Linked DNA regions of Oryctolagus cuniculus. The protein of the gene in region 2 binds, or shares a complex with, the protein of the main gene of each other region. Links are inferred from orthologs where the notes say so. Each region holds a gene or a part of one and is shown on either strand. Other genes may lie near its edges.

What was found.
Region 1: the proteins of AURKA (region 2) and TPX2 are in contact, whole or in part, in a crystal structure (PDB 3HA6), measured with the Homo sapiens proteins. The link is inferred for Oryctolagus cuniculus from reciprocal best matches to the Homo sapiens genes AURKA and TPX2. Residues at the interface, in NP_001310232.1 of Homo sapiens: Lys125, Arg126, Gln127, Trp128, Asp132, Glu152, Gln154, Ser155, Phe157, Leu159, Lys166, Glu170, Gly173, Glu175, Leu178, Arg179, Val182, Glu183, Ile184, Ser186, His187, Leu188, Arg189, Tyr197, Gly198, Tyr199, His201, Val206, Tyr246, Ser249; in NP_036244.2 of Homo sapiens: Gln3, Lys5, Ser6, Ser7, Tyr8, Ser9, Tyr10, Asp11, Ala12, Pro13, Ser14, Asp15, Phe16, Ile17, Phe19, Ser20, Ile31, Asp32, Trp34, Phe35, Glu36, Lys38, Ala39.
Region 3: the proteins of AURKA (region 2) and TACC3 are in contact, whole or in part, in a crystal structure (PDB 5ODT), measured with the Homo sapiens proteins. The link is inferred for Oryctolagus cuniculus from reciprocal best matches to the Homo sapiens genes AURKA and TACC3. Residues at the interface, in NP_001310232.1 of Homo sapiens: Leu130, Phe133, Glu134, Ile135, Gly136, Arg137, Tyr148, Leu149, Ala150, Arg151, Ile158, Val163, Arg205, Tyr207; in NP_001428248.1 of Homo sapiens: Glu523, Ser524, Phe525, Arg526, Pro528, Val531, Leu532, Gly533.

The regions. Positions count from the first base shown.
Region 1 is NC_091442.1:25,931,778-25,934,441, forward strand, and holds the end of TPX2 (targeting protein for Xklp2), read right to left. Parts: intron 1,336-2,664; coding exon 1,225-1,335; 3' UTR 509-1,224; downstream 1-508. UniProt on the Homo sapiens protein: Spindle assembly factor required for normal assembly of mitotic spindles. Required for normal assembly of microtubules during apoptosis. Required for chromatin and/or kinetochore dependent microtubule nucleation.
Region 2 is NC_091442.1:5,237,542-5,240,058, forward strand, and holds part of AURKA (aurora kinase A), read left to right. Parts: intron 1-288; coding exon 289-437; intron 438-2,517. UniProt on the Homo sapiens protein: Mitotic serine/threonine kinase that contributes to the regulation of cell cycle progression.
Region 3 is NC_091433.1:622,271-625,789, forward strand, and holds part of TACC3 (transforming acidic coiled-coil-containing protein 3), read left to right. Parts: intron 1-341; coding exon 342-394; intron 395-1,008; coding exon 1,009-1,118; intron 1,119-1,220; coding exon 1,221-1,335; intron 1,336-1,420; coding exon 1,421-1,525; intron 1,526-1,926; coding exon 1,927-2,003; intron 2,004-2,111; coding exon 2,112-2,155; intron 2,156-2,435; coding exon 2,436-2,596; intron 2,597-3,485; coding exon 3,486-3,519. UniProt on the Homo sapiens protein: Plays a role in the microtubule-dependent coupling of the nucleus and the centrosome. Involved in the processes that regulate centrosome-mediated interkinetic nuclear migration (INM) of neural progenitors.

The DNA.
Region 1 (2,664 bases), about 21 Mb from region 2:
TATTCTAATATAAGAAAAAAAATTACAACTTTTTTTTTTAAGGACTGAGCCTGTGCTTTCAAGTTTCTGGAGTGGCTGGCATTGTGGTACAGCAAGTTATGCTATGGCCTGTAGGGCTGGCATCCCATGCTGGTACCACTTTGAGTCAGGACTACTCTACTTTTCATCCAGCTCTCTGCTAGTGCACTAGGGAAAATAGCAGAAGATGGCCCAAGTGCTTGGGACCCTGCACCCACATAGGAAACCTGGAAGAAGCTCCTGGCTTGTGGCTTTAGCCTGGCCCAGCTCTGGCTGTTGTGGCCATTTGGGAAGTGAATCAGCGGATGGGAGATCTGTCTCTTCCTCTCTCTCTCTCTCTGTCACTCTGCCTTTCAAATAAATACATCTTAAAAAAAACAAAAAAAAGATTCTGGACCCACCTCTCAAACTACCCATTTCCCCAGTGAGAGATGTCCTTCAAAGAGGCTTGACAGATTTGAAAAGTATCAAATAACAAAATGAGAGAGGAGAAGACGAAAAGTATTTATTACATGCCAGGTTTTAAAATGCACACTGCACTGCTCTCTGTAATTCTCAGCACAGATAAGGGAAGAAGATACCTTAAAACCAGCTCTGCCCAAAGCTTGCCAAATGGTTGCTGTGAGGTTCCCATGCGTTCACGCCATCTTCTTCCTCAGTGATGCAGTTAATGAGGTTTTCACCCTTATAGCACAGGGCTTCTTAACTACAAACTCATTTGTGCAGAGAGGAGGAAAGAATCTGAAGTAGCATTTGCTCCTCATTGAAACCAGGACTTAAACCCTATCTCAGGATTTAACTATCTTTATTTTCTGATTTAAAAATAATAATAATATATATATATATATAAGAAAGGCAGAAGGGGGCAATGGGAATAAGACTGCACTGTGCTATCACAGAGACTTGAAATTCTAGCCAGAGTTAAGACACATATTAAAGGTCAACTGATGGTATAAAGGAAATAACTACATGGAGTCTAATCAAGGCATACATGAATTGAGTCTCATTATTAGCCTCAAAAAAAAAAAAAACAACTCTCAACAAAACTTGAGCCCATAGTTGTCAAGTACATTCTGTCTGACACGAGTAGCTGAAAAGACTGGAGAAATCGGTTCTCTCCACTCCCAGCGACAAGGAAGAAGGCTCCTGGTTTGACGTTAAAAGCAGCTCCAGCTGCCAAGCAGTATCTGCAGGTCACAGCTGAGTTTAGCAGTGGAATCGAGTGGAGAACTTGGGAGATACAGGCACAGTCAGAGGTTGGTCACTTGACTTTACTTCCACACCCTGATACTTGCGTATTGGATTTGCTTTGTGCACCTGCAGAGTAAGGAAAATAAAGTTACCACTGACTAGAATATTAGCAAACAATGCTTATAGTTGCTTTTATTTCTTTCTGAGAAAATGTTTGCATAGACTTGCAGATCCCAGTCACTAACTTAAAGAAAGGGGGAGTGGGTAAGACAACACAGTATAATGGAAAAGTACACAGGGTTTTGGAGCCCAGATTTCTGTTTATTCAGGGTTTTGCTGGGTTCCTCAGCTTTCACTGAAGGTGTTGTGGCAACATGAGTTAAGCCACTGGTTTGAGTCTTGGCTGCTCCACTTCCAATCCAGCTCCCTGATAATGTGCCTGGGAAAGCAGCGGAAGATTGCCCAAGTACTTGGGCCTCTGCAACCACACGGGATGTGAGCTCCTGGCTCCTGTCTTCTGCCTGGACCAGCCTAGCCATTGCAGCCATGTGGGAAGTGAACCAGAGGATGGAAGATCTCTCTATCTTTCCCTCTCTCTATTACTCTGCTTTTCAAATGAATAAATCTTAAAAACAAAACAAAAAAACCCATCTCCGGTGTCAAAGAGTAAAAGGGGCTGTACTCAATTGTAGCAGAATTTTACAAATTAAGAATTTGTTACAGTACAATCTTAAACTTGACTACTGGGGTTGGTGCTGTGGCGTAAGGGATAAAGCTGCCACCTGCAGTGCTGGTATCCCATATGGGCGCCAGTTCAAGTCCTGGCTGCTCCACTTCAGATTCAGCTCTCTGCTATGGCCCAGGAAAGCAGTAGAAGATGACCCAAGTTCCTGGGTCCCTGCACCCATGTGGGAGACCCGGAAGAAGTTCTTGGTTCCTGGCTTCAGATCGGCCCAGCTCCACTCATTGCAGCCATTTGGGGATGAACCAGCGAATGGAAGATTTCTCTCTCTCTAGCCCTCTCCTTCTCTGTGTAACTCTGACTTTCAAATAAATAAATTTTTAACAAAACAACAACAAAAAACTTGACTATTATTATTCACCAACAGCATGAACTTAAAAACAAAACAACAAGAACCAGCAAGAAGTTTGCTGGAGAAGGCTTTTGGGTACTCTAATAATCAACCCTGAATCGAGCCAGATTAGAACAGAGACACTGCATTTACTGAATTGTGCTGTAGAATGTTTCAATGGGCCTGCCCTGGGAATTGTAAAAGAAATAGCCTTGTAACAGGAGCAAACACAACAGGCAGGTATCAAGTATTACAGAATAATCAAAGAAGTTGAGTCTGATGTTATGAGTGTATCTGGAGTAGGGATTATATTGTTTTCTCTTTCAATCAACAAATGGTAGTTTGGATTTTGCAAAGAGGCTAGCCTCTTGAGTAAGTTGTC
Region 2 (2,517 bases):
GGCCATAACTGGCCATGTGAGGGGACAGGCAAGCTCGTCGTCACCGTCTGCACAGCACATCAGCTGCTTAGCGAGGCGGTAACTGGGCACTGGGTAACTCCCTCCCGATGCTAGGTGCCGTCAGTCAGGTCTCTCGACTCGGAGGCTCGTGCGTGGTTCTGCAGTGTTTGCCTCAGGAATCCTGCAGGAATGCTCGTTTCCGTGGGTGCTCCCTTCAGAAGAGATGTCTGTCGAACATTAGCTTTGTTATAGAACCTGAAACAGGCTTCCCATGCTCTTTTCAAACAGTATATCACCGAGCTGGCAAACGCCCTGTTGTACTGTCATTCAAAGAGAGTCATTCATAGAGATATTAAGCCCGAGAACCTGCTTCTTGGATCAGCTGGGGAGCTGAAGATTGCAGACTTCGGGTGGTCGGTACACGCTCCATCCTCCAGGTAGGTGACTTCAGAGATGGAGGTGGTTTGCTTAAGCAGAAACCCCGGGGCCTAACCATGAGCAAAATATAAGTTACATGTAGATTTTGCAAGGGTGGGGCAGAGTAATTTCGACCTGATAATAAACTAGTGGCTTCAAGAAAATTTTGTTCTTTAGCTGTTTGGGGCTACTTAGGGTGTTCTGGGCCTAGGATTAAAGATGCTTAATGTCTTTAGAGACTAATGAAGGGGGTGAATAAGCCAAAGATGACAAGTGTGTGACAGAGGGGGAGGAGCCCTTAAGCTAACAGGGACGCTGGGAGTGGGAGTGGGAGTGGAGGAGGCGGCTCTGTTTCCTGAAGCTGTTTTAGAAAGCAACAAATCTGTCTTGGTCCAACAACATTTCCTCTGGGGAACTTTGAAAATGGTTGGTTTTGAGGGCGCATCAAGGCAGCTGTTACTTAGATTCCCTTTGGTCTGTTTGTCAACAGGAGGGGGAGCCTTTCTGTCCCTAGAGCTGAAGCATGGGGCCAGAGCTGTGGCATAGCAGGTTAAGCCCCTGCAGTGCCGGCATTCCAAATAGGCGCCGGTTTGAGTCCTGGCTGGTCCACTTGCCATCCAGCTCTCTGCTGTGGCCTGGGAAAGCATCAGAAGATGGCCCAAGTGCTTGGGCCCTTGCACCCACGTGGGAGACCTGGAAGAAGCACCTGGGTTTGGATCGCTGCAGCTCTGGCTGTTGCAGTCATCTGGGGAGTGAACCAGTGGATGGAAAGATCTCTCTCTACCTCTGCTTTTCTCTGCCTTTCAAATAATTAAAATCTTTAATAAATAATAAAAAAGGGACTTGATTAACAATTTAAGTCTTGGGTGAATTTTCCAAATGAAAGTTAAAATAAATAGTGCAGCCTGAGGGGCTGCGGGGATACCCTCCTGTTACAGACCATTCCTGCTGTTTCCAACAGTCTATCCCACCTGCTGTTGGAGTCTTGTCTTTTTGGACTGATAGTTCTGAGTGGGGGCTCTTGTCATCAGTGAGACAAATAACAAAGAACCGTAGGTTTCACGAGGTCGAAGGGTTGAGTCTTTACCTTACCCTGCCCAGTGGTGTCATCAGCAACGGAAAGATAGCACCTTGTTTTGAAGAAGTCCTTTATATAAATGTTGCTGGTCACTTCCCCCTGCATCCCAGATGGTAATGACCGCCAGTTTCTTTGTTACTGTGGACAGGTGCTCTGTAACCCCTGACTTAGTCCATCTCATCTCAGTGCTGAGGAGGGCTCTGGCGTCTGCAGAGGTGGCTGCTAAGTCGCAGGTCACAGTTCACTTGAGTGAACAGTCCTGTGCTCACTGCACCAGGCATGGCTGAACACAGTTCTGCGTGACCTGCAGAACACTCCTGGCTGGGTGTCTGCCACCCCCCAGCTTATTTCCAGCCTCGTTAGAAAAACTTTAGAAATGCAGTTAGTAGTCACTGGTAGACCTGTGTGTCCACCACCTGCATTCCAAGTTTTCATTTTGTCATACTGACTGCAGCTGGGTTTGGTGAACTTTTTATTTTAATTTATTTTTAAAAATTTATTTCAAAGGCAGAGTGACCCGGAGAAGCAGAGAGTGAGATATCTTTGATCTGCTGGTTCACTCCCCAGATGGCTGCAACAGCAGCAGCTGGGCCAGGCTGGAGCCAGGAGCCAAGAACTTGATCTGAGTCTCCCACACAGCAGGGGCTCAAACACCTGACCCATCTTCCTCTGCTTTCCCAGGTGCATTAGTAGGGAGCTAGATGAGATGGTGCTCACGGGATGCCAGTGATGCAGGATGTAGCTTAACCCGCTGTACCACAATGCTGGCTGGCCCCTTTGGTGAATTTTTGAAAATAAGTTGCAGATGTTTAATCATTGAGCACTGGAGTATACATCTACAAATCGGGACATTCTCCTCTGTAATCACAACCAGTCAGTCGTAAGGAAATTAACATTAAGATCTAATATTCTAAATGTTGAATTATCTCCAGAAGTCTAAGAAAATTTTTTTTAAAGATTTGAGTCAGAATTACCCACAGAGAGAGGTCTTCCATCCGCTGATTCACTCCCCAGTTGACCAT
Region 3 (3,519 bases), on a different chromosome or scaffold from region 2:
ACCGGCGCCCATGTGGGATGCCGGCCCTGCAGGCTGGGGCTTTATCTGCTACATCAGAGCGCCGGCCCCGATAAGTTGATTTTGTGAAGGGTTTAGGCCCCTCGAGGTTTTCCAGCCTCGGATGACGTGACAGGTGTTTGTTCTGGAACAGCTGTAGACGGGCGCTCACCCCAGCAGTGCCTCGGGTGCCGCGCTCGGTGCCCCCGCCCCGTGAGAGCAGTCGGCTCCCAAGTGGCAGAGGCCTGAGCCGTGGGCCAAAGCTCTGGTGCCGGGCTGGGCGGAGGGCGGGAGGAGGGTTGGCTCCCAGGGCCCAGCCGGGCCCCCTGACCTCTGCCCCTCAGTCCTAGGCACGGGGGCCGAGATCGATTACCTGGAGCAGTTCGGGACCTCCTCGGTGAGTGTCCCGCGGCACCCTGGCCACGCCCCCCCAGTGTGTGTCCCGCGACACCCTGGCCACGCCCCCCCCGTGTGTGTCCCGCGGCACCCTGGCCACGCCCCCCGTGTGTGTCCCGCGGCACCCTGGCCACGCCCCCCCCAGTGTGTGTCCCGCGGCACCCTGGCCACGCCCCCCCAGTGTGTGTCCCGCGGCACCCTGGCCACGCCCCCCCGTGTGTGTCCCGCGGCACCCTGGCCACGCCCCCCCGTGTGTGTCCCGCGGCACCCTGGCCACGCCCCCCCGTGTGTGTCCCGCGGCACCCTGGCCACGCCCCCCCCAGTGTGTGTCCCGCGGCACCCTGGCCACGCCCCCCCGTGTGTGTCCCGCGGCACCCTGGCCACGCCCCCCCGTGTGTGTCCCGCGGTACCCTGGCCACGCCCCCCCGTGTGTGTCCCGCGGCACCCTGGCCACGCCCCCCCCCCCCCCCCCCGTGTGTGTCCCGCAGCACCCTGGCCACGCCCGTGCTCCAGCCCTCCCTGTGCTGCCGGGGCTGTCCGGTGTGGCCAGGGCGGAGGGCGCGCTGGGGCGTCCCCGGGCCGCGTGGAACCCGCTGAGTGCCCCGCCTCCCCCAGTTCAAGGAGTCGGCCCTGAGGAAGCAGTCCCTGTACCTGAAGTTCGATCCTCTCCTGAGAGACAGTCCTGTGCGACTCGTGCCGCTGGCCACGGCCGCTGAGGCGGACAGGTGCGGGCAGGGTGGACAGGGGCGGGCGGGCAGCAGCACGGGGGGCCCCGTGCGAGCAGACGCGTGTGGGCTGACCCAGCCGCCTCGCTCCTCGGCCCCCAGCACGCAGGTCGCCGCTGAGCCCTCGGGGGGCCCCCTGGACACGCTGCTCGTGGACCTGGACCTCGGGGGAGCCCTGCCTGTCCCTGTGAGCGCGTCGGGCCCCCTGGAGCCGCAGGTCGCTGACGGTGGGGGCTGCTCGCTGGTGCTGGGTGGGAGGAGGCGAGGCTGAGAGCCTTGTGACGCGTCTCTCATCCCTGCAGGTGCCGGCCCAACCCCTGTGTATCCTGGAGCCCAGCTGTCCACCCCTGCCCGTGGGGCCCATCGTGGACGTGCTGCGGTACAGCCAGCGAGACCTGGACGCCGCAGTAAGGGGCAGGCCGCCCTGGGGCTTGGCGGGGCGGGCGCAGCCGCGGGGCACACCTGAGCAGGTGGCAGTGGGGCCTGGTGTAAGTCCATCTGCACCATCCTCTGGGTTAGGACCCCAGCCTCTGCCCTCAGACACGCAGGGCCTCGGCCGTTGGCACCTGGTGTGCCCGGCTAGAGTCACGTGGGGCTGACGGGCACACCGGGAGGATGGGCGCTGCGGGGCCTCTGCTGGGCTGTGCCGTGGCGGGTGTCACGATCCAGCGTGTGAGGCATGTGAGGCAGGTGGCCTCGGCCTGGCCAGGGCCCCCGGGGTCCCCTGAAGCCCCGTGGAGCCCGTGACTCCTGACGTTGCTGTGGGGAGGGGCGGGGCGTGCAGCTCCCGCGTGTGTGTGATTCCCAGGTGCAGGCGGCACAGCAGGAGAACCTGGAGCTGAGGAGCCGGTGTGAGGAGCTCCACACCAAGAACCTGGAGATGGGGTAAGGCCGCGGGCCGGCGGGGCTGGCGGGGCCCGGGGCTCGTGGGGCCGGCGGGGCTGACGGGGCCCGGGGCCGCCGCGGCGCAGCACTGACCGCCCTCCCCCGCAGGAAGATCATGGACGGGTTTGAGGGGATCGTGTACCAGGCGATGGGTAAGTGCCCCGCGTGCCTCGTCCGCCCACGGCCACGGGGCTCTGGGCAGAGCTGTGCTGGGCCCCGTCCTGTCCCCACCGGCTGAGTGCGTCCAGCAGCCCCTGTGGTGGCCGGGCTCGGGCCGCTGCACTCGCCCCTGTGGGACTGCGTGAGGGCGGGTGTCCGCTGGCCCCGTGCCGGCCTGGCCCATGCGGTGGGAGGGCCATCTGGCGGGCCCGCGCTTGCCAGCGCCCTGGTGCCTGGCATGCCGGCGCCCCGACCCGGCTGCTCGCTCTGCAGAGGAGGTCCAGAGGCAGAAGGAGGCTGCCAGAGCGGAAGTGCAGAAGGTCCTGAAGGACAGGGAGCAGCTCGCCGCGGACCTGAGCTCCACGGAGAAGTCCTTCTCCGACCTCTTCAAGCGCTTCGAGAAGCAGAAGGAGGTGATCGGCGGCTACCGCAAGGTAGGGCTGCCCGCTCCTCGGCCCGGCCTGGGGCAGCCGTGCCCGGGGGGCCGCAGCGCGGGGGCGGCTCTGCCGACTGCAAGGACAGCGAGGCTGACCGCTGGCCTGGGGGCCTCCGTGGGTGCCTGGGGTCAGGGTGAGCCGCCTGTCTCCATCCTCAGGCCAGTGGCTGGTCCCCAGCCGCCCACAGAAGTAAAGCGGGTACTCCATGGGGGCAGCTCTGCAGAGCGCGTCGGGGAGGGTCGTGAGCACAGAGCCGGGCAGGAGACACCCCCAGGGGCCGCAGCAGCCCCCAGCCCTGTCGGCACGTGACGCGCTATCGGCTGTCCTGGCGGGGGCCGGAGACAGGGCCTCTCCGACAGGGCCGTCTGCCCCGGAGACGCTGCCTCCCTTGCCTCGCCCGTGCCCGTGCCCGTGCCCGTGCTGGGGAGCTCCACGGGCGCACTGAGAAGCCACTGTCCTGTGTGCAGAGGCAGCGCTGGGCTGGACGCCGGGGGCAGGGAGGAGCTCGGGTCAGGGGGCGTGGAACCGGGTGCTGCCCATGGCTGCGGGCAGCAGGTGGCGGGGAGGGGACCCCCGCGGGGACGCCCGCTGCGCACAGTGGCGACTTCCCAGCCAGCGAGGGGCAGCACCTGTGCAGAGGCGAGCGTGTCAGTGTCGGTGCAGTGGGCGGGGCAGCCAGGGGAGCTCGGGTGGCAGGCGCTGGGCCCTGCTGAGCCTGGGGGGAGGCGGCTCCCACGCCAGGGCCACCATGCTGGTGTCAACTGCCAGCCTGCAGCCCGTCCCCTCTACCGTGCCCAGGCACCAGGCAGGCCTTGCCTCACCCCTTGTCAGCTCGCAGGGGTGGCTGGGTGGCGTGAGAGAGGGCAGCTGTGGGTGCTCCCCCCAGAACGAGGAGTCGCTGAAGAAGTGCGTGGAGGACT